2 linked regions of the Stegostoma tigrinum genome follow. The protein of the gene in region 1 interacts with the protein of each later gene in a biochemical or structural test. Links are inferred from orthologs where the notes say so. Each region holds a gene or a part of one and is shown in the gene's direction. Other genes may lie near its edges. The genes, in order: magi3a and adrb1.

Region 1 (16,533 bases):
TCATGAACAAAAAACAGAAGTTGGTGGAAAAGCTCAACTTTTTGAAAAAAATCAGAGTTAACATTTCGGGTCTGGTGACCCTTCCTCAGTTCTGAGGAACCAGACCCAAAACGTTAACTCTGATTTTTTTTCTTTATGGTTGCGGCCAGACCTGCTGGAGCTTTTCCAGCAACTTCTGTTTTTCTCCCAGGAGTTAGATGTAGTTCTTTGGGCTAAAGGGATCAATAAGTATGTGGAGAAAGCAGGAGCAGGGATCTGAGTTGGATGCTCAGTCATGATAATAATGAATGATGCAGCAAGCTCAATGTGCCAAATGGCCCAGTCCTGCTCCTATTTCCCGCATTTGAATGACTTGGAAATATATTGCCGTCCCTTCAGTGTCATTGGGTCAAAGTTCTGGGACTCCCTCCCTAAGGTCATTGCGTGTCTAACTACACAACTTGAACTGCAGCTCAAGGGGCAACTAGGGATGGGTGAGAAATGCTGGTCCACATTCCATGAATGAATTTTTAAAAATATTGCAAATTTGAAAGAAAGCCTGTTTGACTGGCCGTGAAAGATCATCAAATGTGCCTGCTTTCTGCTTAGTTCTGGTGGGGTGGAAGGAGATGAGTAAGTCAGTTAGAGTCATAGAATCATACAGCATGGAAATAAACCCATTGGTCTAATTCATCCATCCTGACCAAGTTTCCTCAGCTGAACTATCCCATTTGCCTGCTTTTGGTCAATGTCCCTCCAAACATTTCCTATCCATGTACCTGCATCTACCACTTCTTCTGGCACTTCATTCCATACTCACATCAGCCACTTTGTAAATAAGTTGTTGGGATGTTTGGAGGTCATAGGTCAGCTCCAGGTACAAGTCCCATCAAGGCTGGTAACTCTACACCCTTACCTCAGGAGACAGAGAGATTACCCAATGTGCTGCCCCACTGGTGGCTTTCCCAGTTTCCTGCTGGAAGAGTGGGATATTGAGGTGGAGAGAAAGCAAGTATGTTAAATATGAATTGGAAGAGGAAGCGAGGTTCCCTGTGGGTGCATTTCAAGACCAGATGAATCCAGTGACTTGTTCAGTCTTTATAAGGGGTGGCATCCATACAATGACGGGGAGAAGGGGCTTATAATTAGCCCCGGGTCTACAAGTAAACTAAACGTAATCAGACATTACTGTAAAGTCAACATTTAGTTGTGGTGCAGTTACATAGTGATTGCAAGGAAAACATTCAAATTTGTTCTGTCTTGGGTTTCTTACAGTCAAGGAGATACACAGCCAACCATCACAAAGGTGCAACTGAATCCTGAATACATTTTAAAGTGAAAATGAGGTATATTCCACGGTTTCATATTTGACTCTTAATCCTTCTCTACCCTTGTGAAGATTTCTGAACAACACACCTTGCAGCGAAGGAGTTCCTGGGATCCCCAGATTCCAGAAAACGTGGCCTATGGACGTCCAGCTGTGTGCTTCCCCAGTGATGGAGATGCTTCACGGAGTCAGGGCATTGTTAGCTGCCAAGTTTTGTTAAGGGAGGTTTTGAGAACAGGCTGAGTAAGGTCATGGCTGTGAAAGTGTTAGCGTCGGAGCTATGTTGAAGCTCCACCAACTGGTGTATGAAATACACAACTGGACAGATTGTCTGAAACTCCTGAGGTGCCTTTGCGATTATTCAGAGAGACATGAGCTACATTCAATACCTCGTGTTTGTCGGTAGAAGGTTTAAAGGGGAACATGAGAAAAATCTGCTTTATCCAGAGGGCAGAGAGTGTCTGGAATTTGTTGCACGGTTTGGTGATTGAGATGGAAGCCCTCAACTCATTAAAAAGGAGCCTGCACGGTCCCTGAACCTACTGGAACCAACAAGGCTCCCAGACCAGGGGCTGGAACGTAGGAATTTTTGGGGATTTTTTTTGCAGGATGTGGGTGTTGCTGGTTGCGTTAGCATAAATCGCCAGTCCCTAATTTCCCAGAAGGCAAACACATGTCTGTGGGTCTGGAGTCACATGTAGGCCAGCAGTTGCCAACACTAAAGGACATTAGGGAACCAGCTGGTTGGCTCTCCATCCCATCCCCATCAACAACAGTTTCATGACCATCATTAGACTCTTAATTCCAGGTTTTTATGGAATTCAAATTCTACCATCTGCCATGGCGGTGATTCAAGTGCAGTCCCCAGAACATCATTCGAGTCTCTGGATTAATAATCTGGTGATAATACCACTAGGCCAGCACCTTCCCTAGAATGGGTGGTTGGTTTATTCAGCTGGGCTGAATGGACTCTTTCTGTGCTGTAACTATTCTATGTTATCATTGTGGATGGCGTAGTGGCTCGGTGGTTAGCACCGCTGCGTCATAGCACCAGAAACCTGGGTTCAATTCGAGTGTTGGGTAACTGCCTGCACGGGCTTTGCATGTTCTCTGTGTCTGTGTGGGTTTCCTCTGGGTGCTCCAGTTTACTCCCACAGCCCAAAGATGTGTGGGTTAGGTGAATTGGCCATGGTAAACTGCCCTATAGTGCCCAGGGATGTGTAGGCTAGGTGAGTTAGTCATTGGAAATGTAGAGCAACAGGGATTTAGAGGGAGTGGTTTGGGTGGGATGCACTTCAGAGGATTGGTTAGGACTTAATGGGCTGTATGGCCTGTTTCTGCACATTAAAGATTCAATGATCAATGTAATGTAACCTGTATAGATAGATAGAATAGATAGAACATTACAGCACAGTACAGGCCCTTCGGCCCTCGATGTTGTGCGGACCTGTCATACCGATCTCAAGCCCATCTAACCTACACTATTCCATGTACGTCCATATGCTTGTCCAATGACGACTTAAATGTGCCCAAAGTTGGCGAATCTACTATCGTTGCAGACAAAGCGTTCCATTCCCTTACTACTCTCTGAGTAAAGAAACTACCTCTGACATCTGTCCGATATCTTTCACCCCTCAATTTAAAGCTATGCCCCCTTGTGCTCGCCGTCACCATCCTAGGAAAAAGGCTCTCCCTATCCAACCTATCTAACCCTCTGATTATTTTATATGTTCCAATTAAGTCACCTCTCAACCTTCTTCTCTCTAATGAAAACAGCCTCAAGTCCCTCAGCCTTTCCTCGTAAGACCTTCCCTCCATACCAGGCGACGTCCTAGTAAATCTCCTCTGCACCCTTTCCAAAGCTTCCACATCCTTCTTATAATGCCGTGACCAGAACTGTACACAATACTCCAAGTGCGGCCGCACTAGAGTTTTGTACAGCTTCACCATAACCTCTTGGGTCTGGAACTCGATCCCTCTATTAATAAAAGCTAAAACACCGTATGCCTTCTTAACAGCCCTGTCAACCTGGGTGGCAACTTTCAAGGATTATATATATAGTTTCAAATAAGTTCTATCTGGTTATCTAAGATAAGGTCCTATTATTCTGATATTTATCTGTGGCTGATCCTTCACTGCCAACTATGAGAAAGCCCCTGAACCAGCATTGGAACAAGGATTGGCGTCTCCCTAAGGTGAAAAAGCTGTGTCACCATGGTTATGAAGGGAAGCTGTGGTGTAGTGGTAATGTCACAATGCTATTCGTTCAGAGAGACCCAGCTAATGTTCTGGGTTTGAGTCCTGCCACAGCAAATGTTGAAATTTGAACTCAATAAAAATTGGAATTAGATTTGGCTGAATGTTATCAAAACTTCATCTGGATCTGAATCCTGTACTGAGCAAGGAGGAGCTGCACTCTCAGAGATAAAAAGTGAAATCTGTCATTGTTAACCTGGCTGCCCTACACATAACTCCAGGCCCACAGCAATATGTTTGGCAGTGAAATGGTTGGGTGAGATACTCAGGTCAAGGAATGGGCAATAAATGCTGGCCCAGCTAACGACGCCCACATCCCATGAGGAAATACAGGAGGCCTGGCAATAGAGAATTTTAAACTTTGTTATTTAAACTTTAAACAATTTAGGACTGCAGAATAGTCACCTGCTTGGCAATGGGCCGTGAAAATCACAGGAATATTTCAACGTTTTTTCATATCATCTGCTTCATAAAAGTAATGGTTGGATAGGTTCCTATTTTACTCCAACATGTGACGGAAGAATTTTAAATGTTAAATTCCCTGAAGGGGATGCAATTTATCATAAACCTCCCTAGTAATCACCCCTGATTGCCCAGATTTGTGCATACAGCCACTGACACAAGAAGCAGCAGGTAGCGTCCCTCCCTCTGAACCATTAGCTCCCAGTTATAGCATCACAAAGCCATAGAGATATACAGCATGGAAACCAACCCTTCAGTCCAAATAGTCCATACCGACCTTGTTCGCAAACTAAACTGGCCACAATTATTTGCAGAGATAGTAGGAACTGCCGATGCTGGAGAATCTGAGATAACACGGTGTGAAGCTGGATGAACACAGCAGGCCAAGCAGCATCAGAGAGGCAGAAAAGTTTGACGTTTCGATTCGAGAACCTTCTTCTTCTTTTTCTTTTTCTCCGATTCGAGAACCTTTTCTTTTTCTCCCCTACTCTAGAGAAAAGACCTTGGCTATTCACCATATCTATGCCTCCCCCACCTCATGATTTTATAAACCTCTATAATTTCACCCCTCATCCCCCAACTCTCTGGTGAAAAAAATCCCAGCTTATCCAGTCTCACCTTATAACTCAAACCCACCAGTCTCAATAACCTCCTTCTAAATCTTTTCTGCACCCCTTCCAGTTTAACAACATCTTTCCTATAAGCCCCACCCCAGCTCCCCAGCTGTGGCCTATGTGGAATCCAGGACAAAATGACAGGCACTATTAGAGACTAAATCCAGGATCAGCAGCCAGAGTTGGGAGTGTCGAGTTCACTCAAGTGTGCTCCAGGATATAGCAGGAATGCTGGAAGCAGCAGATGGATGATGACTGGGTTGCATTTGAAAGCTGGAAACTGACCAGCTGGACAGAGGTTCCAATGACAGACCAACTACCTCCCAGTCAGTGAGCAGTATTCTGTGGAACGGAGTCTGTAGCCAGCTCTCATTAAAAAACTGAGTCAAGTATTTCCACTTTTCATGTGAAGCCAGCCAGTGTTGATCAGCATTCCTATGTGAGGTGCTGAGGAAGGAAGTGCTGCTCTCTCTGAGCTGATGGGAAATGGGAAGGCTGGTCTGCCCTTTACATGGTGATAATTCCGTGACCATTATTTGAAGAAGAGCTCTTTACAGTATGCTGAGTTTACATTAATCCTCAATCAATCAAAGCATTGACACTGCAGTGTCACATTGCACTGAGACACTACACAGACATGGTGCTTTGTCATAAGGATATAAGATCAAGGAGCAGGAGTCGGCCATTCAGCCCCTCGAGTCTGCTCCACCATTTAGAACAATCATAGCTGATCTCATCTCGGCCTCAACTCTGCTTTCCTGCTTGCTCTCCTTAACCCTTCACCCCCTTGCTAATGAATAATCTCTAAGGTTTTGGAATTAATAATCTCTCTACTTCTTTCTTAAATTTACTCAATGTCCCAGCATCCACTGCATTCCGGAGGAGTGAATCCCACAGATTCATGACCCTTTAAGAGACGTAATTTTTCTTCATCTCTATTTTAAATTCTACTACCCCTCATTCAAAAACTGTGACCTCTCGTTCTAGATTATCCCACGTGAGAAAACATGTGCTGTATGTCTACTTTATCAATCCCCTTTAGTGTATCAGCTACCTTAAGTGATCTCCTTTCATTCTTCTGAATTCAAGAGAGTATAGACCTTAACTGCTCAATGTCTCTTCATAAGACAAACCACTCATCTGTAGAATTAATCTTGTGAATCTCCTCTGAACTGCAGTGTTCCTGTCATGATGCTCTGACATACCATTCTGTCAAACTACATTGTTATATTACAGTGGCACACTGCATTGTCACACCAACATGGAGTGCTTCATTGTCACTATCACAGAGCAGTTCACACTACCCTGTCACACTGCTCTGACACACTGTCTTGTCACACCCCAGTTGCACTGCATTGTCTCTCTGGACTAACAGACTACACTTCACACTGCATTGTCACTCTGTTGTATGGTTTTAACACACTGCATTGTTTCATTGCACTGAGATAGTACATTTTCATAGTTTACAGCAACGCTACGTTGATGTGCTGCGTTGTCACAATGCACTGTCACAGTCTGTATTTACACACTGCACCGTTGTACTGCATTGAAACACTATGTAACGTTTATGTCCTAATGGTTGATCTCGATGCAAGTGTGTGCGGATTTTTACAATGCAGTCAGTTGTAAGCTGCCTGCCTCACCTGAGTGAAATAAATCATTGAAACCGTCGCCAACAACAGAACACACAACAACTTGGGTGAAGTTGCTCGTTCAGTTTCCAAACGACAATAGTTGTTTAGACGCATTTGTAACACTGGATCAAGGAGTGCAAATCTAAACATAAAGCAATAGAGTGCAATAGGGAACAACCTGTTCAGTTTAAACTTTGTGCCGTTCAGTAATTATTAACCCAAGCTTTGTGCTTAGTGCTATCAAAGCTCATACACCTGTTCCTGCAGTCTCATTATGTGTTTCTGTAATCTATGATTTCCTGCATTTTGAACATAAATATTAAAAACTGCATCAATTCAAACTGATGGCTGAGTGTTGTTGTTTATTGGGTGTAGTGCAGGCTATGGTCAGCGTTCTTGTTCCCCTGTCTCGTTGTATAAACTTGTGTCAATAACAAGCTGAATGCAGCCTAGTGTGATGTCACCACACTCAGATGGACAATCAGTTTTGAAGGGGTATAAAGTTATTAGAATAAGGCAAATGTTTATTGATGCGGACTAAGGTCACTAAGAATAAATGTGATTGCAGCATTTGGCACAACCTAACCATTAAATAACCCTGGCAAACATTGATGAGTGTTAGATGTATTTCTATGTGTTATGTATACCATTACATATTACATGGAGGAATTGGATCTCAACGTCAACCTCAAATCCCTTAACAACTCTTCTCAGGTCAAATTCTGGTCCATCCCTCTACTAAGATCAATGGAGAATTCCTCCCAAACATGGAATATTTCTCCTGCCTGAAAAGCCAGCTGTCATCTAAGGTCGACATTGATGTGGGAATTCAACAATGCATCCTATCTGTGACTGCTCTCTTTGGATGCCTAAGGATCAGAGTCTTCAATGACTATGATATCTGTGCCTACACCAAGATCATTATGAAATTAGGCAGTTATCCTTCTGACCTTCTGTAGGGCTCTGAAACTTGGAAAATATGAAGACACCACCTCAAACCCCTGGAGAAGTACCATCAGTGTTGCTGGAAATGGATTCCCTACATCAGCAGGGAGCACTGACAAACTAATATTAGTGCCCTTAGAGGAGGCAAAAATACCAGCATTGATGTCATGATCATCTGAAACAAACTCTGCATTGGCCATCCATGTATTTGGATGCCTAAATTCCAACTACCAAAGCAATCATCTTCACCCAGCCTAAGGAAGGCACTCAAATGAAAGGGGGATAAAGGAAATGCTTCAAAGACTCCCTGAAGGCCTCCCTCAAGAAATGCAACATCGATTTCAATGCATAGGAGACACACGTTCAAAAGAAATTGACCTGGATGAAGCTCCTGTACGAAGGGCCACAAGTCTTTGAGAACACCAGTCGTCAAGAAGAAATATGGAAAAGTAATGGGAGAATGGAATGCCAATGATCTCCAGGCCAAGAACCAGGTTCACCTCCAGGAAACAGCTGCTAAATGTGTGGACAGAGAAGTGGCTCTAGGATTGGGTTTGTTAGCCACACAAGGAACCACAGAACTCATGAGCAGTGACATAGAATTTCTGAAGTGGACACCCAATCTTATTAGCGAGTGGCTGTTTACTATGACACCATTACATATTACACATATTTCTGTATTTCATTTCTGTCAATTTCCAATACTACAACGTCTCCCAACTCTCCTGCTGAAATCCCAAAGCTCACCTTTGTTACCTCCAGATTTGACTATTTGATGGCACTGCTTTGTCCCACCCTCTGTAAAATTTCTGTCTTTCAAAATTCAGCTGCACAGAAGTTTTTGACTTAACTCAGTCCCATTCAGCCTGAACTCTGCCATCACCAATTTATACCAGGTCTCTGTTGAACAACACAGTGATTTTAAAAGCCTCATTGTTTTTCAAGTCCCTCCACAGTCTCACCCCTCCCTATCTCTGTCATCTGCCATCCCAGACCCTCTGAGATTTCAGTACTCCTCCAGTACAGGAATGTTGTACATCCCAGATTTTTCAGATTTCACTGCATTTTGGTACACATGAGAATAAAGTCAATCAATTAATTGCTTTGGTTCACTAATTTGCTTCTTTTTTTAATGACAGTTCTTAATATTAACCCTTTCAACCTAGCTTTTGCTCATTTAACCCAAAATTGATTAGTTGACTCAGTTTTGTATTGTGTTTACTAATACTCCCATAAAGCACCTTTTGTTGTGTTTGTAGATCACAGATGCATTATAAATTCGTTGTGTATTTTTAATGCATTTTTTGTTTGTATAATTGTAATCATTTTTGATATCTCTTTACATCTTCTATCCATCTGTTCTTCACCATGTTCTATAGTTCTCTGGATGTTAATGTGAATTGCATTCTTACAGACAGCCTGTATTACATGGAAGACTTTTGATTAATTACTCACAGCTTTGCCACTGTTTTTATCATGTGATAGGTCAGGACTGTTGGAAAAGAAATGATGCTGAAAGTGTGATAGGCAAGTGTTATAAAAACTGAGACTGAAATGGGTAACATACTCTACACACACAACTTTTAGCACGTGGGTCTCAGATCATTTCATGATTGATTTATCCAATGGAGTTTAGGAGAATGAGAAGGCATATCATTGAAACTTACAGAATACTAAGAGGCCTGGATAGACTGGACCTGGAGAAGTTGTTTCCACCAGGAGGGGAGACTAGAATCTGAGGGCACAACCTCAGAGTGGAGGGATGACCCTTTAGAACTGAGATGAGGTGGAAACTCCTCTATCAGAGGGTGGTGAATCTGTAGAATTCATTGCCATAGAATGCTGTAGAAGCCAAGACATTGAGTGTACTTGAAACAGAGACAGATAGATTCATGGTAAGTAAGGAGCTGAAGGATTGAGGAGAGAAGGCAGAAGGATGGGGTTGAGAAACATATCAGCTATTATCGATGGGCAGGATGGCTTAATTCTGCTCTGATATCTTATAGTCTTAATGGCAGTGATTCTTCTCCGTGTTCAAAGGGCACTGACCCATGCTCTGGTCAGTGGACAATGATCCCATCCTTGGTCCATAGGCACTGATAACCCTATTCACTGATCAATGGGCACTTACGCCCCCGATCCCTGGTCAACGGGCAGTGACCCCACACCCTGGTCAATGGGAGGTGACCCCACACCCTAGTCAACGGGCAGTGACCACACTCCCTGGTCAATGGGCAGTGACCCCACACCCTGGTCAATGGGAGGTGACCCCACACCCTAGTCAACGGGCAGTGACCCCACACCCTGGTCAATGGGAGGTGACCCCACACCCTAGTCAACGGGCAGTGACCACACACCCTGGTCAATGGGAGGTGACCCCACACCCTAGTCAACGGGCAGTGACCACACACCCTGGTCAATGGGCAGTAACTGGGTCGAGGAATAAAAGTGACGGCAAGAGTAGGGCATGGATAGGTCTATGGGCGGGGCCGGCATTCGGGGGCGGTGTCGAAAGGGGGCGGGTGGGCAGGTCGGGGGGGGGAAGCGGGCTCTGATTGGTCAAGGCGTGTCCCGCCCCTTTGCCTGACGTCGCGGTGGCGAGCGGACGCAGTGACGCAATGACGCAGGCAGCAGCAGCGGCTGTGGTGGTCGGGCCCCGCGGTCAGTGACAGGAGCCCGGAGCGGGAGCGCCCCCCCCCCCCCCCCCCCCAAAACACACACAAACTGACCCCGGCGGACAGACACCGGCAGACCCGGCACAGGGGAGGCTGGGGCACGGCCAGGCCGGCCCAGCCCCACCCCCGCAATGTCGAAGTCTCTCCGCCGGCGGCGGCACTGGCTGAGCCGGACCCAGGAGGTGGCCGTTCCCGGAGACGCGCTGTCGCTGGGCGGCGGGGCCGAGTTTGGCCAGTTCCCGGTGCTGGCATCGCCGCTCAGCGGCTCCGAGACCGGCCCTAGCCCTGGGCCCGGAGACATCCTGCTCGAGGTCAACGGGACCCCGGTTAGCGGCCTGACCCGCCGCGATGTCCGGGCCGTCATCAGGCACTTCGCTCAGCCCGTCCGAGTGCGGACAGTGAGGCCAGGTGAGGGGTGGGCCGGGGAGGCGGGAGAGTGAGGGGGGGGCGGGCACGGGGCAGGGTGTAGTGAAGGGGTGAGGGGAGGCGGGACAGTGAGGGGAGCTGGGCACGGGGGTGGGTAGTGAAGGGGTGGGGGGGGTGGGTAGTGAGGGGGTGGGCACGGGGGTGGGTAGTGAGGGGGTGGGGGGGCTGGGCACGGGGGTGGGTAGTGAAGGGGAGGGGGGGCTGGGCACGGGGGTGGGTAGTGAAGGGGAGGGGGGCGGGTAGTGAAGGGGTGGGGGGGGCTGGGCACGGGGGTGGGTAGTGAAGGCGTGAGGGGGGGGCTGGGCGCGGGGGTGGGTAGTGAAGGGGTGAGGGGAGGCGGGAGAGTGAGGGGGGGGCCGGGCGCGGGAGTGGGTAGTGGAGGGGGGGGCCGGGCGCGGGAGTGGGTAGTGGAGGGGGGGGCCGGGCACGGGGGTGGGTAGTGAATGGGTGAGGGGGGGGCCGGGCACGGGGGTGGGTAGTGAAGGGGTGAGGGGGGGGCCGGGCACGGGGGTGGGTAGTGAAGGGGTGAGGGGGGGGCCGGGCACGGGGGTGGGTAGTGAAGGGGTGAGGGGGGGGCCGGGCACGGGGGTGGGTAGTGAATGGGTGAGGGGGGGGCCGGGCACGGGGGTGGGTAGTGAATGGGTGAGGGGGGGGCCGGGCACGGGTGTGGGTAGTGAAGGGGTGAGGGGGGGGCCGGGCACGGGTGTGGGTAGTGAAGGGGTGAGGGGGGAGCTGGGCACGGGGGTGGGTAGTGAATGGGTGAGGGGGGGGCCGGGCACGGGGTGGGTAGTGAAGGGGGGGCCGGGCACGGGGGTGGGTAGTGAAGGGGTGAGGGGTGGGGGCGGGTAGTGAAGGGGTGAGGGGGGGGCCGGGCACGGGGGTGGGTAGTGAAGGGGTGAGGGGTGGGGGCGGGTAGTGAAGGGGTGAGGGGTGGGGGCGGGTAGTGAAGGGGGGGCCGGGCACGGGGGTGGGTAGTGAAGGGGTGGGGGCGGGTAGTGAAGGGGTGAGGGGGGGGCCGGGCACGGGGGTGGGTAGTGAAGGGGTGAGGGGGGGTAGTGAAGGGGTGAGGGGGGGGCCGGGCACGGGGGTGGGTAGTGAAGGGTTGAGGGGGGGGCCGGGCACGGGGGTGGGTAGTGAAGGGGTGAGGGGGGGGGCCGGGCACGGGGGTGGGTAGTGAAGGGGTGAGGGGGGGGGCCGGGCACGGGGGTGGGTAGTGAAGGGGTGAGGGGGGGGGCCGGGCACGGGGGTGGGTAGTGAAGGGGTGAGGGGGGGGGCCGGGCACGGGGGTGGGTAGTGAAGGGGTGAGGGGGGGGCCGGGCACGGGGGTGGGTAGTGAAGGGGTGAGGGGGGGGGCCGGGCACGGGGGTGGGTAGTGAAGGGGTGAGGGGGGGGGCCGGGCACGGGGGTGGGTAGTGAAGGGGTGAGGGGGGGGGCCGGGCACGGGGGTGGGTAGTGAAGGGGTGAGGGGGGGGGCCGGGCACGGGGGTGGGTAGTGAAGGGGTGAGGGGGGGGGCCGGGCACGGGGGTGGGTAGTGAAGGGGTGAGGGGGGGGGCCGGGCACGGGGGTGGGTAGTGAAGGGGTGAGGGGGGGGGCCGGGCACGGGGGTGGGTAGTGAAGGGGTGAGGGGGGGGGCCGGGCACGGGGGTGGGTAGTGAAGGGGTGAGGGGGGGGCCGGGCACGGGGGTGGGTAGTGAAGGGGTGAGGGGGGGGCCGGGCACGGGGGTGGGTAGTGAAGGGGTGAGGGGGGGGCCGGGCACGGGGGTGGGTAGTGAATGGGTGAGGGGGGGGCCGGGCACGGGGGTGGGTAGTGAATGGGTGAGGGGGGGGGCCGGGCACGGGGGTGGGTAGTGAAGGGGTGAGGGGGGGGGCCGGGCACGGGGGTGGGTAGTGAAGGGGTGAGGGGGCGTGGGCTTAGACATGGGGAAAATGTTGGGCTGGGTGAATGTGGGGGGTGAGGGGATGGAGGTGTAGGGTTGAGTGGGAGGGAGGGGGAGGGAGTTTAGGGAATAATGGGGGTTGGGAAGGGAGGTGAGGGGAAAGGCTGGCAGTGACGGAGGAGAGAGGTGATGGGGCAAGGGAGTGGGCTGATGGGAGTGAGGAGTTGGGGAGTGAGTGACTGGGGTGAGGAGCAGAGGTTGGAGTAGGGTAGTGAGAAGGATTGGAGAAGTGAAGTTGGGCTAGATTGGGGAGGGGAATGAGGGAGAATGGAGTAGTGAGGTTGAAGTAAAAGGAGAGTGGGTGGGTTTGGGGTTGAAGGAGGAGATGTGTTAAGTGGAGTGGACCAGCTGTGGTGGCTGGTGAGTGGGGAAGGGTAGTGTGTGTGGGGAAATTGGAGGTGGGGGGAGTTAGTGTTCAAGCTGAGTGAGGGTTGGGGTTTGCACAGGGCTGTGTAAAGTGGGGGAGTTTGGATGGGAGATTTAAAGATAGTGGGGGTTTTGGGGATTAGAGTTTTGATAGAGGGAGCATGGTGAGAAGGGCTGAGAGAACTGATTATGGAATGATATATAGTTGTCAAAGGAAGCGTGCAGTGCTAACTGGTTAGAATGCTTTTGAGGAAAAGTGAATGGGAATGAAGGAATGCAGAGGGTCTAGGCAGCAATGAGACACTGAAGACTGAGTGGGAAGAGAATAAACTGGGGAAGACTATGAAATCTTGGAGACAGCACTGCAAGAAATATCGGAAATTGTTTACTAGGAATTTGAAATAACAGGATCTCTACATGGAAGAGAAAGTGGGAGAAGCAAATAAGGGAAGTAAACAGAAAAGATTTTGTAATGATAAAACTACAAACTGCGCGCGCTGGATATCCAAAACACAAACAGAAATTGATGGAAGAACTCAGCAAGTCTGGCAGAGTTAACATTTTGGGTCCACTGGCTGTTCAGGACTGTCTTCTGGCCACAGGACCCAAAGCATTAACTCTGCTTTCTCTCCATGGATGCTGCCAGACCCGCTGCGTTTCTCCAGCGATTTCTGTTTTTGTTTAGAGTTAGTTTGCACCCCTAAGTCAGTCTGTTCACTAGGGATTGTGAACAAGTGATCTGGGAGGAGACACAGACTGACATGTATGGTTAGAAAGATTTGAGTGGTTATGTACTTAAACAATGTATCGAACAAATGTTTTATCTTGCTTGTGGTTGCTACTGTACCAATGAGCGAGTGTTGATTGACATACTGAGATGTCGCACTGAGTTTGTGGAAGTGATTTAATTCACCATGTCTTAGCTCAACCAATCTGCTATGGTCAACTGCTGGATGCAGGATCAGTACTTTTCTGCAGAAAGACCATGCAGGAATAATAGGAAAAAAATCTCCCTAGAATACATTCTTTGTCTTATGCTGAAAAGTGAATTAAATGATATAGTAATGAAATTATATATTACAAGGGGGGAGAGATGAAGGTGTATTGGCAATGTTGCTAGACTTTTAATCCAGTGGCCCAGGCTAATGGCAGCATAAGTTCCGATCCCATAACGGTGTCTGGTAGAATTTGGATTTCATTAATAAGTCTAGAATTGAAAGCTAGACTCTGGAATGGCGACAATGAAACTATTGTTGACATACTAATAGCTCATCTGCTTCATTAATGACCCGCAGGGAAAGAAATCTGCAATTCTTACCCAATCTGATCTGCATGTGACTTCAGTCCCTCAGCAAATTCAGTTCAGGGGCAGTTATGTGCCATACATGCTAGTAATCTTGTCCCATGAGCAATTAAGATAAGATAGTTTCTTGTCTCAATACTTAGGCAGATGTGTGTTATCAACTATTATCCAAGTTTCAATTTTCTTTTTAAAAATGGTAACCAGGAAATGGCCCTTTAACTAGGATACTAAGTTAAAATTCTATGTATTTGGTATGGATGGGCTATAGCATTGACTCTGGTTTGTTTTACAGCAAAACTTGTGACAATGGGGTTTAAGAAAAAAAGCAGACAAGATGTTGGAAATCAGAAACAAATTTGTTTTTGTTTATGATAGGGTAAATGTGTACTCAAGCAGTGGAAATCTCTGCTTCTGGTTAAGAACCTGCTAATCTCCAGCCAGTGCAATGTAGACCATTTGTGTACGTTTTACCTTTAAACAGAATTAGATTTTTCAGTGTGTAATAAGCATTACCAAAAATCACCTTAGTCTTTGGACAATCTTCCCCTGAGGTCAGACAGCTCTTTGAAATAAGCGGTTCTGTCAGCCTGTCGTTTGGCTGTCTCATCTCTGCTGTAAAGGGATTATTCCCAGTTTTCATTCTCCTGTCTGGGTGGGAGAGCCCTGTTTTGTCTTCTATATCCACATTGAGGACATGAAGTTCGTTACATTTGTTCTCACATGTCTCACCACCCCCATACCCCCACCCACCGGAGTACGCGAATAGAGGTGGGAGAGAACAAGGACGTAGGGAACAAACCTCTTTTGTCCATTCATCACTGTAGTAAACTGATGGCCAATGGTTTGATAATATTGGTTTTGTCCATTGAGCAGATGATGGGATCAATGTATGATTCTGCTATCTGTCAGGAGACTTAGTGAGGAATGAGAATAAATTCGAATGTTCATGTAGATTCTCATTGCAGACGTGAATGTTGAGAGATGATGAGATTGTTGTTTTGCATTCTGAAGGGACTGGGTAATTTCCTCCATACCTAACTTGTTCACCTTGGCTAGAACAATAGAACCAGGGCACAGTACCTCCACTTAAAATGGGGAAAATTCAGTATGAATCGGGCAGCCATTGGTTGTGTGATTTAAGTGGACGAATGATTGTTCTATTATAGCTTCCTGGGGAGACAATAATCAATTGATTCAGGTTCACTTAAAATATAGATTCCAAAGATTTTTTCAAAAAACGTTTTGAGATCTGTACTGAGTAATTTAAGATGTTTGAGTGAAATGCACTGAAAGAGTGGGTGAATTTGCACAGTTGTTTCCAAAGCTATCTTCTGTTATTTTCTTTGCCTTGTATTTGGATCTGTTGTAGACTCATTGACTAATTGCAGTGGTCATGTTCTGTCAGCAAACTCGTGTTGTTTCATGTGCCTACCAGGATGGTTGAAGGTGAATTCATTGAATCCTGGTCTTTCTTGCTTTGAAACTCAGGTATTCTTATTTGGGTGTGGAGTTGTATTACTACTCGGGTCCCTAATTGATCCACTTGGGTGTTCAGTGTGCTTCTGAGACTTGTTTGATGTTAAACTTTCAGCATATGTTAAGTATTCCCTCAGAACATTAGATTTTTTAAATAATTGTAAATCTGTTGGCTGTCCCAGAGTATGTTACTTGTTTGCAGAGCTGTCGTCTGTTTCTGTATCAGGAGTTTTTAAATTGTGCATTTGGAGGTGTCGTCATTTGGGTGAGGTCTATATTTCTATCGGCTGAGGGCTGTTGAGATGCATTGGTAGTGTCCTGACCTCTGTGCCAGGAGGCCTGAGTTCAATTTCCACCTACTCTCGAGGTGTAATACATCTATCAACAGGCTGATTAGAAAATATTTATATTGCTGTGAGACCTTCAACATCCATAAAGTACAATTTGAGGAACAGGGAAAGTGTCTGTCAAGTATTGTCACTTGAACACCATTGTTTAAACAGATAGCACTGTGATAACTAGACTATTTGCAAAATTTTGCATACAAATTGGTCATGTTTTTGTTTCTTTTACTCAGTCATGGGATGTGGGTGTTGCTGCCAGTGCCAACATGTATTGCCTATCCCTACGTGTCCTGGAGAAAGTAGTGGTAAGCTATCTTCATAAGCCACTGCAGTTTTCGGAATGTGGGGACATATACAACGCTGCCAGGAAGGGAATTCCAGGATTTGATCCAACAACAGTGAACGCATGACAATATTTCTCCAAGTCAGGATGGTGAGTGATTTGGAGAGGAACTTGCAGGTGGTGGTGCTCCCAAACATCATCTGCCCTTCTCTTTAGAGATGGTAGAGAATGTGGGGTTTAAAGTACAGTCAGGGGAACCTTGGTGAGTTGCTACTGTACACCTCATACATCTTACTGATGGTACACACCGCTGCCACTGTTCTTCAGTGATGCATGAGGTACCACTCAAGCCATCTGCTTTGCTCTGGGTGGTTTTTGTGTTGCTGGAGCTATGTTCATCCATGGAAATTGTGAACACTCTATCACAGTCGTGACTTCTGCCTTTTGGATGATGGACTGGGACTGGGGAAACGCAAAGAGAGGAAATTGCCTCAGTTCATTTGAA
Region 2 (16,480 bases), on another chromosome or scaffold:
CAGGCTTTGGTTTGTCACTGGGGTAAGGTGCAATAAACTGAACACACATCACATTGAGATGGTGCACTGAGTTATCAGTAAAAAGAGGCCAATACATTAATTTGCAAGTCATCTGTGTCCATTACTGCCACGTCCTAAAAGTATTTGCAGCAGATGCCCTGATGCCTATGTCCTTGAGAACTCTCCTGTCCATGCTTTGTGTCAAGAGCTGGATGCCTTACAAGGATAGTTACTGGAAGACAAGGACTACCCTCTAAGACCTCGACTTCTGCCTACGGTAAATGGGTGAAACCGGCTGGTTATCAGATGAGCAGGGCATCACTGAGGTATGGTGCCGAGTTGATGAGGTGAATTTGGGATGGCTGTGAGAGAAAATTCTGGTCTTGCAGAGATAAACTTTCCATGAAACTCAACCAGAATTACGTGTGGCCAAATTCTGTTAAGATTCAGCCCTCAGTTACATTTCATCAACAAAATGTAACTTCTTGTTTTTTAAAAAAATAATGACATTACAGGAGAAAAGAAGAATTGCTACAGCAATTTTGAGATTTCCAGGTTTAACAAAGACGTGATTTTAGTTACACAGAAGCATAGAAGATAGGATCAGGAGGAGGCCATTCAGCCCTTCGAGCCTGCTTTGCCATTCTTCACAATCATGGCTGATTGTCCAACTCAGTAGCCTAATCCTGCTTTCTCCCCATAACCTTTGACCCCGTTCTCCCCAAGTGTTATATCTAGTCACCTCTCGAATACATTCAATGTTTTGGCAACAACTACTTCCTGTGGTAATGAATTCCACAGGCTCACCACTCTTTGCATGAAGAAATGTCTCCTCATCTCCCTCCTAAATGGTCTACCCCAAATCTTCATACTGTGACCACTGGTTCTGGACACACCCACCATCAAGAATATCCTCTCTGCAGCTACTCTGTCCAGCCCTGTTAGAATTTTATACGTCTCTATGAGATCCCTCCTCATTCGTCTGCGCTCTAGCAAAAACAATCCCCACCCTAGTCAATGATAACGGGAACTGCAGATACTGAAGAATCCAAGATAACAAAGTGTGGAGCTAGATGAACACAGCAGGCCAAGCAGCATCTCAGGAGCACAAAAGCTGATGCTTCGGGCCTAGACCCTTCATCAGCTCTCTGATGAAGGGTCTAGGCCCGAAGCATCAGCTTTTGTGCTCCTGAGATGCTGCTTGGCCTGCTGTGTTCATCGAGCTCCACACTTTGTTATCCAACCCTCGTCAATCTCGCTTTGTATGTCAGACCCGTCATCCCTGGAATCGGCCTAGTAAACCTTCGCTGCACTCCCTCAAGAGCAAGCGCAACCTTCCTCAGAAAAGGAGACTAAAACTGCACGCAATATTCCAGGTGTGATCTCACCAAGGCCCTGTACAAATGCAACAACACATCCCTGCTCCTGTACTCAGAAAGTGATGATGAAAAATGCCAAAAGTCTTACAGACATTACAATGTCCAGGTCTTTGAAATAGATTGTTTATATTAATCAATATCTGAGTAATTTAAAAGTCGCAAACATTTTCATATTTTACAATTTAATAGACAAAAGAAAAATAACACACACTACTTGTTGGACAACATCATTACTCCAATAAAATATTAAATATTAGTAGGAACTTTGATGCAAGTTTAGACATAAATTTTGTCAGACTCTTTTGCATTTTGACATCATAGGTAGAATCTTCCATTCTGAAATATTAGTTCTTACTATCTCTGCTGTTGCTTGCTGACCAGTTCTGAAGAATCGTTACTGGACTCCAAAAGTTAACTCCGCATTCCCTCCAAAGATGCTGCCAGACCAGCACTAAAGAAAACATGATTTCCTCTCAGGACCGTTTCATGATTATGCTGCTGTCAGTGCAGTGCATGTTGTTGTGTGAGAAGCGTGGATAACCTTGCTGTGAGGCAGGCAGCACGTCAACGCCCCTGCCATTACATTATATGGTTGAAGACCTTGGTGTCATTTTTGAAAGGCACCTGGAAGGGCATTCACACCCTACAAGCCAGGAACATCACTTGGGTTCTCAGTCTGCAGCTAAACATTGACTCTTTCACACTTCTCCAGTCAGCCTTCTGAGCTTGGTCAGTGTCCTTAACCAACACCCATTCCGCTCCAGCCTCCACCCTCCCCTGGTCATCATCTAGTGACCCTCTGTAACATTGACTGCCAAGGCATGGCATAAGTGAAAGAAGATGTGATTCACACTAAAGGTCACAAAAATGACACCTTCTGCATGCTACTTCCACAGCCATGAATCTGAAGATACGTAAAGTTCACTCTTAAAACTTATTTGAGAAGGACAAGTTAATTCTGTTGAGCTCGCCTGTTAATAAGCATGCTAGACACACAAAAGGCTCCCTGACACTTGCCTTCAAGAAGCTGAACCTGCCTTTAAAATTGTAAAACTGTAAATGCTGACTTTCATCCTGTTGGCGGGAATGTTATTTTTGTCTCCTTGCCCAGCTACGTTACCTTACCCCATCCTGTTTTCCACTGCTGGAAGTAGCAGACGTTCCTGCTCTCATTTAAGAAGATAAAACAAAAGAACCGCAGATTCTGGAAATCAGAAACAAAAATCAAAAATTGTTGGAAAAACCTAGCTGGTCTGGCAGCATTTGTGGAGAGAAAGCAAAGTTAAGCTTTGGAGTCCAGTAACAATTCTTCAGCATTGGTCAGCAAGTAACAGCAGAGATAGTAAGAACTGCAGGTGCTGGAGTCAGAGATAACAACATATGGAGTTCAAGGAACACAGCAGGCGAGACAGCATCAGAGGAGCAGGGAAGTTGACGTTTTGGGTCGGGACCCTTCTTCAGAAAACAGCAAGTGTCAATTCTGAAGAAGGTTCACTGGACCCAAAACATTAACTATGCTTTTTCGCCACAGAAGTTGCCAGACCTGCTGAGTTTTTCAGCAAGTTCTAACTTTGTTTCCACTCTTCATTATGACGCATGCTTAGTAAGATTGTTAAGGGTCACACAATGTTTAGGTAAATGGTACTGTGATTCCCAACACATCAGTTGTACTTGTTCTTCCTATTCTCTGGTACAATTACAGACCTCCTTACAAGTCATTTTTTCAGTATACAGAAGCATAGAATCCCGACAATGTGGAAGCATGCCATTTGGCCCACACCAAATATCCAAAGAACATCCCACGCAGACCCACTTCCCTGCCCTTTCCCTGTACCCCTGCATTTCCAATGGATAACCCACCTAGCCTGCACATCCCTGGACACTATGGGCAATTTAGCTCGGCCAATCCACCTAATCTGCACATCTTTGGACTGTGGGAGGAAACTGGAGCAGCCCCTCTGACACAGGCACCCACACAGACACAGGGAGAACGTGCAGAGTCCATACAGACAGTCGCCTGAAGATGGAATATAAACTGGGTCCCTGGTGCTGTGAAGCAGCAGTGCTAATCGCTGAGCCACCATGCTGCCCTATACTTACCTCCAAATGCATTTCAGTGGCTGTATTAACTTACTTTACATTTAGCTAGCAGAAAGGAATGTTTCTGTTTCCTTATCACTGGCAACACTGGGACAATTCTGCATAAATTACAATTATCTCAAATTAACCATTTCATATATTATCATTCGACACAACTGAAGAAACACAGACAGGTATCATCCTCCAAAGCAAATGCTGTTCACCACCTCTGAATTTACTGATTACATTGTCCGGCAAGAATTGTCATACAAATATAAATACGAGTGGACGATTTTTATATAATCTCTTTTAAATATGCATTTTGGAGAAAATATTTTAATTATAATGTTTTAATTATAATTTCAAATGAGTGACAACATCTATCATCTGACCCATAACTAGGACATTCACAATTCAGTAGAAAAAGAAGACTTGCAATTATCTATATGCAAATAACATATAAATTGATTTTGATAATCTCATGTTGTCCTAAACTGCTTTATAAACAATTCTGTGTTTTTGAAGAATAAACAATATGTACCAAGAATACAAGTTTAAATTAAACATGTTAGAAAATATTTCCCACATACATTCAGATGAGGAATTCTATTCCACTTATTTGATCTTCTCCTTTGAAATATCAAACTTACCAATGTCCCATGACATGCTTTCACGTTGTCCTTTTTTAAATAATTCCAGTGGCCAGCCTTAAATATGCTTCCTGCCTTGGTTGACTCTTTCAATTCTGATCAATTTCAAAATAAAGAAATTATTCTGATTGTCTCTGCAGATTTAAACTCAAGATAATTTGGCATATAATGTTGTTCTTGAACAATACTACATTCCACAGTTTATGTGAATGTCTAAATAATTAAAATCTCTTGATCTCTTTAAATTCCCACTTTGGCTAGTTTGTTTCTTTTTAGTAAATGACATTTTTCTCTATTGAACTTTATTTGCCATAGATCAATACAGGTGCAAAGCTCTGAGTTTCCTCAATGTTATTTAGAGTGCCTCAAATAGATTATTTTAAAACAACAGTTTTAAAAATATGGTACAAAATTATTACAGTCATCAGAATTCAGGGAAAAAATATTGAAAACAATAGGATATATATGGTCCAAAATAGTTTGATTAATACATTATCAGTTTAAATTATTTAAGACATTTAGAAAGAAAATATGGTATTCAATCCCAGTGTATACTGCACAAGAGTCAGAAATATCAAAAAAAATTTTAAGATCACCTAATTCAAAAGTTGTCATTTTGCAATTGTTCAATTATCAGTACATATTCAAACTTCTAAATATACAGTAGAATTTGAGAAAAAAAATTCATGATTGGAAAAGGAAAGATCTAATATATACCCTGATCTACTCTATTGCAGTTGCTATCTGCATGGATGACCTGAACCAGAAAATTAAGCGCAAAAAAATAAACAGGAGAAAACGGCAATGTACAATTCAATCTGTAAATGATACAGAACTCAACAGTAGTCAACAGGTTCACTGACACAATAAAAATAGATATCTCACACCTCTTTCTTATGTTAAATGAGCTGGGATAAGGAGGCAGCACAGCATGGAATGAGTTAACAGGCAGGTATGGGAGGCAGTGAAATATTTCCAGAACTGTTTATTTATTTTTATATTTTTAAATTCTAATGAGATTACCATACAATTAAGATGTGTCAATTATTGCCTGTGAAAGATATGATTGGAATTCAAAATATAGGGCTTAAAAGGTATTGTGTTATCCTTGCAATTACAGTTAACATTGACATGAATAAAGTATTTAGATGACTGCAAACATGGATAACATTAATAAGTTGTGTTTAGTAACTTGAACAAGACAAACATCATAAAACAGAACTAGAATAAACATCTAGTGCTATAAAAGTGAAAACAAAAGCTTGCAAGAGTTCTGTATCATGTGTTGAGTCATAGATGAGTCAAGCATTTCAGTTTCTGATCAGAGCTTTTGTTGACCAGCTGCAAAATCTCTTGTTCTGAGAGGTGAGAATGAGCGTTATTGAAAGGGATTGTCGATTTAAGTCACTACTGTATAAAACATAATTTCAAGAACATGGAGGATAAAAGAGTACTCAGCACACCATACCTTAGACAGTTCTGAAATCATTAGTGGATTCCTTTCTGGTGCAAACAATGTTTTTGTCCTGCCATTATGCAACATAATGACATTTTGTTTCATAGGCTGCAATGGAAGATGAATTGACATTGAATTAACTGCAAGCTGAAATTGGCTTCTTGGTAAAATGAAGAAATAATGACACATAGACAAATCCGGACTGAGCTCCAATAACAACACCTTGCAGATTTATACTGGCTCCCCTGCTGTATTTACAAATGATGTGGAGCATTTTCCGATTAGTACATAATTTACTGATAACACAAAACTAGATGTTAAAGTGATCAATATTGGAGAAATTTGATGAGAGTTCAATGGCATCTATGCATTATGCAGGGGCAGAGAAATGACATCTTAACTATGAAGTAACTTTTAAAAGTTTTTACATGATCCCATGATTAACTGTTAGTTTCTCAACCAGAATGTCATTGGCCTATAAACATGATACATCTGAAAAAAGTAACTGGGAAACTATTTTTCATTTTCAAGTGTTATTTTATTTCAGGTATTTTTCTTCTTGTCATTCTTTTTCAAAGGGACTCACTTTAATTAGGTTTTAATTGATTCAAATATGGACTCCAGAATTGTTCGAAAGATATCGGAAGTTTTGAAAGGGAATGCATGACTGTTGATGAAACTTAATGGGTATTCCTTCTGTAATGTCACTACAAAATAAAAGACCATTCTGTCCGAGTATCTAGATCAGCATTTTTCTCTACTTGAGATGCCTTATTTCTTATTCCTCCTTACACCACTTTTCCAAACAACTTTCCACTTGTGAAGTAATTTGTAGAACGTTTCAGCAAATATTACGGGCAGTGTGTGAATATTTGTTTTATTTCCACCATCCTTTTTTCATCTGTCTAACCGTGCATCTTAAATTTCTACTACTCTGGTCACCCAGTCAATAGCCATTGGAATATTCTGACTCATCTTTGGCCAGGGACAATTTTGATAAAACAGATGAGCTTCATTGGAAATACCAAAAACAAAAAATATTTGGATGGGACTGTTAGCCAATTAACAAAAGTAGCCAGGTCAATACATAAAAGTTTTTAAAAGGCTCTGGGACACATGTCAATGTACTTGAATAAAAAGTAAAACCTTTTTTTGTTATCCTGCATTGTAGTCTGGTACTTTTACTTGGAATATTGTGCAACATTTTGGTGCAGTGAAATTTGAGTGAGCTAAGGCTGTTTGGAGAAGGGCAATATAGCATTTCTTTCTGGAAATCTAAACACGCCAAAAGCAAAGAACCAGAACTAAATTAGTTCTCATTCCAAAAATATTGGAAGCATACTTGCCCCCATCAAAAGATTAATAGCAAAGATGTAAGTGAATTACGTATTTGAAGTAATTAGAGAATGAGAGTACGAATGCAGAATTGGCAGGGTTGCAGGGTAAGTCAGAGGAACAGAAGATATTGTCCCTTTCAACAGAATAAGCCATCAAAAATGTTTAATGCAATGTCAAACAACCACTTTAAAAAAACTGGATGAATACTTCAGTAGTAAAAGTTGACGAACGCTGAGGAATACCAGTCCAGTTCTTTTAAAGACCTGGCACAGACTCCAATAGACCCCTTCAGTTCTGATTGATTCTGTCACTCTCAGGAATAAGTGATGTGGTCTCTGTCACAGAAATGCATTTTGCGGTATACGATTGGTCAGGGTTGAAAATCGGACGCTATCAATAAGAAAATAATCTTTCACTTGTTCATTCTCAGGGTTTAAAGTAAGTTTCATAGTTTTATAAAGTTTCGGGAATTCTATTAACATTTTATTAGATACTTAAATAAAAATGTACATAAAAGTGTAAATTGAACATGGTATATTGAATAGAATGGGCTTCGTGGACCTAATTCCTTTTGGTTATTTACTTTCTTGTGATAAGATAATCCTCCTGTTAAATGGCTTAAGGTCTGAAGTGTAGTTTTAGTTTGAGTGAGAAAGCAGAATGAGGGACTAGCAACTTGTGAACAGTCAGCGACCTCAGGATCCATTCCGAGTTCTAAATCCACAGCAGGGTGTACGTTCTCTGAACTGCAGATAATCTTCTCAAACAGTTCTGATATGGAACTGGGCGGGACCTCTTCCACTGCTACTGAAATTCGAGCTAGCAGCACAGTCTATTCCTGGCCCCCCAAAAATATTTACAGGGACTTACCGTCACTCCCCGAGTGGTTGTCAGCACATTAATCCACGTGAATTCAAAACTAAATAAAAAAGGAAAGACCCAGTGGGGTAAACGTTTGGAAATGAACATTGTGATTAGTCCAGTCTCGTGTTTCTGTAAAGTTCAGGTATTTTCGCCAGGATTTCAGAAGCTGCTTTAAAATATATACCAGAGATAACTGATTGGGGGAAAAAAGTTATCTTTTTCCTCTCTCCCTTAACTTGCACTCAGGGCACCCTCATTGAAGTTAATGCTCTCTAAATGGAAGTTGGAGATGTGGCGTCAGGAAGAGGCTCATTGGAGGAACTCTGTGTGCGACGTGAAAGGGGAGGGCGCTGTGCTGCTCTGACCCCCCAGCTACAGGTTGTTGGTGCCGCCACAGCCAGAGGATGAAGGAGGACAGCACCACACACAGCATCTGCGGGGACAATCTCCGATGAAAGCGACGTGATCTCCTGGCTCGGTCAGCGGCACTCTACACAATGGGAGACCGCCTGTCCTCTGAGGATTGTCACACTAACAAATCCAGCACCATCCTCTTTGTTAATCCTGCAAACGGGGTAAGTCCACACGTGCCTCAGCAAGAGTTCTCTGAGCAGTGGGTGATAGGGATGGGCACAGTAATGGCCAGCATCGTCCTGATCATTGTCCTCGGAAACCTCTTGGTGGTTTTTGCCATCGCCAGGAACCAGCGGCTGCAGACGCTAACCAATGTTTTTATTGTGTCTCTGGCCTGTGCAGATCTGATTATGGGCTTGTTGGTGGTGCCTTTCGGGGCGACCTTGGTCGTGCGAGGTAACTGGTTGTACGGCTCGGTTTTCTGTGAAATCTGGACTTCGGTCGATGTCCTGTGTGTGACGGCGAGCATCGAAACTTTGTGTGTGATCGCCATCGACCGCTACGTGGCGATCACTTCCCCGTTCCGCTACCAGAGCTTACTGACGAAAGCCCGAGCCCGGGCCATCGTGTGTGTGGTCTGGCTCATCTCTGGCCTCATCTCCCTGCTGCCCATCATGATGCACTGGTGGAGGGATGACCAACCCGACGCCATCCGCTGTTACAATGACCCCTGTTGCTGTGACTTTGTCACGAATAAAGCCTACGCCTTGGCTTCCTCCATCATCTCCTTCTACCTGCCTTTAGTCATCATGATCTTCGTCTACGCCCGCGTCTTTCAAGAAGCCAAGAAGCAAATGAAGAAGATTGATAAGTGCGAGGGCAGGTTTTATACCAGTCACTTCATCCCAAACGGCAGGTCAGCTCGCAGGAGACCCTCCAAGATTATAGCCATTAAGGACCACAAGGCGTTGAAGACTCTGGGGATTATTATGGGAACATTCACCCTGTGCTGGTTACCCTTTTTTCTAGCCAATGTGGCGAAGGCTTTCCGGACTGACATCGTGCCCGGCAAACTCTTTCTGTTTTTCAACTGGCTCGGCTATGTCAACTCAGCTTTCAACCCCATCATTTACTGCAAGAGTCCAGACTTCCGAGCCGCCTTTAAGAGGTTACTGTTCTGCCCCGGCCAGACAGACAGTAACAGGCTGTGCACGGGCTCCGGGGAGTTCTCCCGGTGTTCGGGCGTGTTCGGCAACACTCTGGACCCGAGGAGCCTGGAGACATGGTCAGAATGGAACAGGAGCCAGGAGCCGAACGGGGGCGGTTTGGACAGGCACATGGGCGAGAACCCTGACGACCAGGAGTCCCAGTTCTAGCGCGGGTGGAGTGCGGGCAGCAAGTCCAGCTTCTCAGACAGAAACGTTCAGGTTCCGTGGAGAAGACAAAAAAAAGCGTTGAAGACAGAGCAGTGAGTGCGGGCGAGCGGTCCCACACCCACTCAGTATTGTAGGAAACAGGCATTGAAACCCAGCACAGACCAACTCCGCGGTGGATTCCTGCCGCAAGCGATCGTTCCCCGCAATTCTGGAGAACGGAAGGCCAACGTAGATTAACACTAAGGTTTGGATTCGGAGCGATCCTAGACTGTAGCAGCGGACACGCTTTGCCAGGATGCGCTGACTTTCATCGGACGAAACAGCAGCCCACCGTTTTGCAACAAGAATGGTGTGTCCCGCTTAAATCACATTCCATGGTCAGAGGCAATTTCCAACGTGGATTAAAGAGGAGCTCTCGGTTACATGAACAATCGCCGTGTCCCCAAAATAACGGGTCGTTAAGGTCATTGTGTTATTATTTTCAACGTTTTGGATTATGTTAAAGAGAAACCACAAGTTTCATTTTAAAACAATTTGAATAAACAAAGGTCCACCGTCTAAAACAAAATATTTCAGATTTTCTAACAGCTGGTCAATGATCTGTCAGTGACCGACGCCTCGTATAGGAGTGGACATTCGGAGCAAGACATGGATCCAGGTGTTGCTGCCAATTTCGTGAAACCGCTCTCTCTCACTGTAAGACTGTGTTTTGAATAACACTACCTCCAGCTGTACAGATTGTGTACAGATCTATTTATATCAACCATTGTTTATATTAAACAAATCGCATTTTATATATTTAAAAATAGACAAAGCGACACGCAACCTCAGAGTTGACCAGTAGAAAAGTTGAATGAATAGGGGTCAGTTACTTATTTAATTAATTTAAATTCCACACAGGACCAACTTCACCTGCACTTTCCTAAGTGTGGAAAGTTGGTATTTCTCAGTACGAAGATTATGTGCGGCACGTTGTTAACATTGGTGAATATTTTACAGCGCATCTTAGTATGGATAGAACCAAGTAAACATAAAACTCCGGGTAAGCTTTCGAAAATGAAGCATCGGAGTGCAGAAAAGGGTACTCGTGTCGAATGGTGATGTACTGCAATGTTTGCCTGATAAGCCAAAAAAGCGTTTCCCCACCCACTCGATATGAAATTCACGTTCAGCTGTGTGATGTATTTGTCACAAAGTCTGCTTTCTCGCACATATTTATATAAAATGTGGCTCAATAAAATGTGTGGATATTTGGTATATGTGCAATAAACATCATTTAACATTACACGTGTACATTTATATAACTTACTCCAAAAGGTTGATAGCAGTGCTTGCTCGCGCTTCTACTGTCATTCACATCACAGGCCTGTTCCCAAGAACTATTATTCAGTGCACGTAATTTGTTTCTGTGGGTGTTTTAATTTCTAGTATCATTTAAGTTTGCAATGTACATAAATGCAAAAAGCAGCAGGTTATTCGAGTGAAAGAAATGGTGTACAAGTTTTAACCAATGCCTACCTCCAGCCTGATATAATTCCTTACAAATGTCACAGCATGTTTTTGGTCTCGCTGGAGATAAAATAAGACCAGGTTATTGCCGGCTTCAGGTTACATTCGGAATGCCCACGTTTAACCGACGTTGAAACCAGTAGTCTGGCTTACATATTATTACCAAAACTGCGTTACACTCGTCAAGTTCATCAGGGACGGTTCATAGCTCGATCTTACGCTAATTTATTTATTTTCTAATCAATCTGTTCAAAGCTGTAATGATACACGTTTGGCTTCCTAGCTCAGAGATAGAACGTTACCACAGCACCACAACAGCCCCCTTCCGCGCTATTTTGTTTTCCTTTTTCTATCATTGAGAGTGAATTTAAATTGGCAGAAGACTGGCATTAGTAACTCAGTAGGAAACCACGATGGATCACCCACTCAGCTGGAGATGGTGCAAAAAGGGAGGCATGGTGGTTCAGAAGTTAGCACCGCTGCCTCAGCGCCAGGGATCCGGGTTCGATTCCACTCTCGAAGCCTGCACATTCTCCCCGTGTCTGCGTCGGTTTGCTCCGGTTTCCTGCCACAGTCCCAAAGTAGACTGGCTATGGGATAGTACCTACGGATATTTAGGTTGGGTGGGTTAGAAATGGGGTAAGAGTGGGATGCTATTCGGAGGGACGGTGTGGATCTGCTAGACTGAATGGCCTGTTTCAGCGCTGTAGGGATTCAATGAAAACGCTGGAATTGGCCTGCTGTGTTCATCCAGCCTCACATTTTATTATCTTGGAATATCTGTCATGCTGTTTTATTTTTCAGAAAGATTGAGTCAGAACAACTGTGAGGATATGTACTAATATTGCTTTCCGCGACCGCTAAAATTTATTGCTTGTTTGGCAGCGTTAACATTCCTAACTGATTAATGAACAAACAGCAGCAAAATGAACTGGGAAAGGTTCCACATGACAGACTAATTAGTAGTTGGGTCACATAGGATTCAGGGTGAGCTTGCCAATTGGATACACCAACCTCCCATCACAGCTCAACAGTGGCAAAACGCAGATAGAAGAGCCGCATTTCCCACGAGTCAGGAAAATTGTTTTAAAAGTTAAGAGATGACAAAATATTCCAAAAGTCCACTTCGAAAACGGCACGCCAGTTCTTTTTTCCCCTTTAGAATTTAGAATTTAGTTTAATAGTAAAATAGTTTAGAATTTTCCATTTTGACTTGCGTGTGATGTAATGCAATATTTGAAAAGATCGAAAACTAAAAGGGTTACAGAAGTGCCTCAGTTTAGCATTGGATGTAAAGCAGATTATAAAAGTGACTCCCAAGCCGCCTCGCGTTGCTGTACCGCCCCCCTTGTAGTTCCATCAACAATTTGACACAGGCATTTTCGAACAGAGCTCCTGAGGAGCGGGTAACGCTACCATCAGCGCTGCAACGAGCTTCTGCAGGAACCAATTCAATTCTATCGCCCGTGTACTCTGCCCCAGGCAGTTTCTTGGCTCATTGGTTGCCGAAGCCTTATTCTAGCCACTGTGGCCTGGCAGTTTTTGTCAGCAGTGGTTTATCCTTGCTCTGGGCGAGGAGGGGGGTGGTTGGCAAGATAAGGAGGCAGGAGCAGGAATGGAAACCACATCGCTGACACTATTCTGAACTCATACATCATTGAACCACCATTAGACAGTTCTTACTGTGGAGAAGGAAACGGGGTCTGGAGAACGCAGAGAAATAAACTTTGATGTTTTCAAAACAGTTCATATTACAGAAGAGGATGTTCGGGAGGTCTTAGAGAATATAAAAGTGGATAAATCTCCAGGACCTGATCAAATGTGTCGTAGAATGTTGTGGGAAGTAAGCGAGGAAATTACGAGGCCCCTTGTGGAAAGGCAAAGTGCCCGATGACTGGAGGATGGCTAACGTTGTACCTTTGTTTAAGAACGATTATAAAGAGAAACCGGCGAATTGTGGACCTATGAGTCTGACTTTGGCTGTGGGTCAACTGTTGAAGATGATTATAAAAGCTAGGAATTATGGACATTTAGAACGGCAAAAGCTGATTAGAGACCATCAGCATGGTTGTCTGCAAGGAAAACCATGTCTCACAAACTTGAGTTTTTGGAGGAAGTTACCAAAAAAGGTTGATGATGGCAGAGCAGTAGACATTATTTGCTTGGACTTGAGTCTTTGACAAGGTTCCACATGACAGACTAATTAGTAGTTGGGTTACATAGGATTTGGGGTGAGCTTGCCAATTAGATACATAATTGGCTTAACGGCAGGAAACAGACAGTAATGGTGGATGATAACAAAGTGTGAAGCTGGATGAACACAGCAGGCCAAGCAGCATCTCAGGAGCACAAAAGCTGACGTTAAGGGTCTAGGCCCGAAATGTCAGCTTTTGTGCTCCTGAGATGCTGCTTGGCCTGCTATGTTCATCCAGCTTCACACCTTGTTATCTTGGATTCTCCAGCATTTGCAGTTCCCATTATCAGTAATGGTGCAGGGTTGCTTTTTGGACTGGAGGCCTGTGACCAACGGTGTTCCAGAGGGATTGCTTCTGGGTCCTCTTTTGTTTGCCATTTATATAAATGATTTTGACGTGACTATAGAAGGTACGGTTAGTAAGTTTGCAGATGACACCAAAATTGGTGGCATTGTAGACAATGAAGAAGATTTTCTAAGATTATAAAGGAATCTTGAGCAAATGGGTCAATGGGTTGAAAAGGCCAGATGGAGCTTAGTCTGAATAAATGCAAGGTATTGCATTTTAGTACAACAAACAAGGAAATAACTTATGCAATCAATGGCAGTGTTGTAGAACAGAGAGATCTAGGGTACAGGTACATAATTCTTTAATGTATGCTTCACATATAGCCAGGATGGTTAATGAGGCATTAGCCACACTCACCTTCATTGCTCAGACCTTTGAGTATAGGAGTTGGAGTGTTGTACAGGACATTGGTGAGGCCTCTTCTGGAGTACTGTGTCCAGTTCTAGTTGCCCATTTAGAGGAAGGATCTTACCAAGCTGGGGAGGGTTCTGGAGATTTGATGGTTGCCAAGTGTGTAAGATTTGAATTCTAAGAAAAGGCTGGATAGGCTGGGATTGCTTCCACCAGAGTGTAACCTGATAGAAGGTTATAAAATAATGAGTGGTGCAGATAAAGTTGATGGTTGTTGTCTTTTCCATAAATTGACGAATTTCAAAACTCGGGGGCACATTTTTAAGGTGAGAGGAGAGAGATTTGAAAACGATGAGGCAATTTTTTTTCCCACAGAGGGTGCTTTGCATGTGGAATGAACCTTCCTGATGAAGTGGTGGATGCAGGTGCAATCACAACTCTTAAAAAGATGTTTGGGTGGATAAATGAGTAGGGCTGTGAACCAGGAGTAAGCTGGTGGGACTAGTTTAGTTTGGGATTATGACTGGCATGGATTGGTTGGACCGAAAGGTCTGTTTCCATGCTGTATGCCTCAATGACTCCATAAAAATGTACTACTACTTTAAAATGAAAATAAGAATAAAAATGTAGAAGCTAATTTAGGGTAGGTAGGCACAGGGTAACACTATTTTTAGAAAACAAGCATAAATATAACTTTGGGGGTAAAATCACACTACCTTTAAGAAGGCTGCAAGCTCCTCCTACTGTGACTATGAATGGTTTTTAAATTCCTTCTTCTAACAATGGCCTTTTCTGGCACTTTCTAATTGCCTTCAAGAAGGTGGCAGTGAACAGTTTTCTCGAAGTGCTGCAGTCCATGTGGTACACCTGCTTCCCAGTAACAATAAGAGAGAGAGCTCCGAGACTTTGACTCAATAGTTAGTGCCAGAACAGGGACATCATGGTGAATGCCTAACCTTGCAGCTTGCTTTAATGTCCAATGGCACAACAGGGATCACTCCCAGGTCCCCAGGTAAGGTTCTGTGGTTCTGGGTTCGAATTTCACCATGGCAAATGGTGTCATTTAAATTCAATTTTCTTTTAAAAAATCTGAAATTAGGAGTCAAATGATGACTATTATCCACTGCCGATTGTCAAAAAACCCCATGTGGTTCACTAATACTTTACGAAAGGAAACTGCCATCTATATCTGGTCTGGCCCACATGCGACTCCAGATCCATAGCAATGTGGTGACTCCCAACTACCCTCTGGGCAACAAATGCTGGCCCAGCTAGTAACTCCCTCATCCCATTAATGAATAAAAAAAACTTCAGTCAGTCCATCACAACCAAATAAGCCAGTGCACCATAAAGATTTTCCTAACAGCAGACATCTGAATCCAGTAACAGTACAGACCCTGCTTTCACAGAAAATTGATCATCAAGGAAAAGCTATCACATGAACAAAGTAATGGGATTCTTTTATGAAACTACCACATTGTCACAAAGATTTATGTGGTGCACTAATATTCTTTCACCATGGCAAATGGTGTCATTTAAATTCAATTTTCTTTTAAAAAATCTGAAATTAGGAGTCAAATGATGACTATTATCCACTGCCGATTGTCAAAAAACCCCATGTGGTTCACTAATACTTTACGAAAGGAAACTGCCATCTATATCTGGTCTGGCCCACATGCGACTCCAGATCCATAGCAATGTGGTGACTCCCAACTACCCTCTGGGCAACAAATGCTGGCCCATGTGATAGCTTTTCCCACTGATTGGGCACAGGCAATAAATGCTGGTCTTGCTGGTGCTGTTCACAGCCCACAAAAGAATTTTTAAAAAAAATTGATCTGTCTATCTACCATATCCCAGAAAGCACATTTTCATTTTAAAGTAGTAGTACATTTTTATGGAGTCATTGAGGCATACAGCATGGAAACAGACCTTTCGGTCCAACCAATCCATTGTTCATGTGATAGCTTTTCCCACTGATTTAGAATCTTTAAACCTATGCTTTCTGGGATATGGTAGATAGACAGATCAGTTTTTTTAAAAATTCTTTTGTGGGCTGTGAACAGCACCAGCAAGACCAGCATTTATTGCCTGTGCCCTAACTGTCCTCAAGAAGGTAATCAAATAGCTTGCTGGCCATTTCAGAGGGCTGTCACATTGTTGAGAGTCTGGAGTCACACAGACTAGATTAGAAAAGGAAACTTGTCATCCTTACCAAAAGAATATTAGTGCACCACATAAATCTTTGTGACAATGTGGTAGTTTCATAAACACCAATACTAAGATGAGCTTTATTTTTCAGTTAATTAGTTAGATAAACAGGAGACAAGAAGTTGAAGTGTTTCATCACAAACTCATCAGAATTAGGATGCAAGAAATAGACTTGAAAAAAAGACACCATTTTATATATAATATGTGAGATGAGGGTACTAATTGGCTGTACTATCATTGGCAGTTAACTGTCAATCTTAATTCTCAGACCAGACAGATGGACACTAATTGGGCAGGGTATTGTCATAGGGGTGCAACAGATTTTTACTCTTTTTTTTCCAAAAAGGTGCAATGCATGTCTAAATTTCTT

Evidence for each region.
Region 2: the proteins of magi3a (region 1) and adrb1 interact in a test that uses a peptide from one of them, tested with the Homo sapiens proteins (2 studies listed by IntAct, with this or other methods). The link is inferred for Stegostoma tigrinum from reciprocal best matches to the Homo sapiens genes MAGI3 and ADRB1.

What each region holds. Positions count from the first base shown.
Region 1 is NC_081374.1:3,665,594-3,682,126, reverse strand, and holds the start of magi3a (membrane-associated guanylate kinase, WW and PDZ domain-containing protein 3a), read left to right. Parts: upstream 1-9,932; 5' UTR 9,933-10,023; coding exon 10,024-10,300; intron 10,301-16,533.
Region 2 is NC_081373.1:23,470,452-23,486,931, reverse strand, and holds adrb1 (beta-1 adrenergic receptor), read left to right. Parts: upstream 1-7,792; 5' UTR 7,793-8,263; coding exon 8,264-9,496; 3' UTR 9,497-10,754; downstream 10,755-16,480. UniProt on the Homo sapiens protein: Beta-adrenergic receptors mediate the catecholamine-induced activation of adenylate cyclase through the action of G proteins. This receptor binds epinephrine and norepinephrine with approximately equal affinity.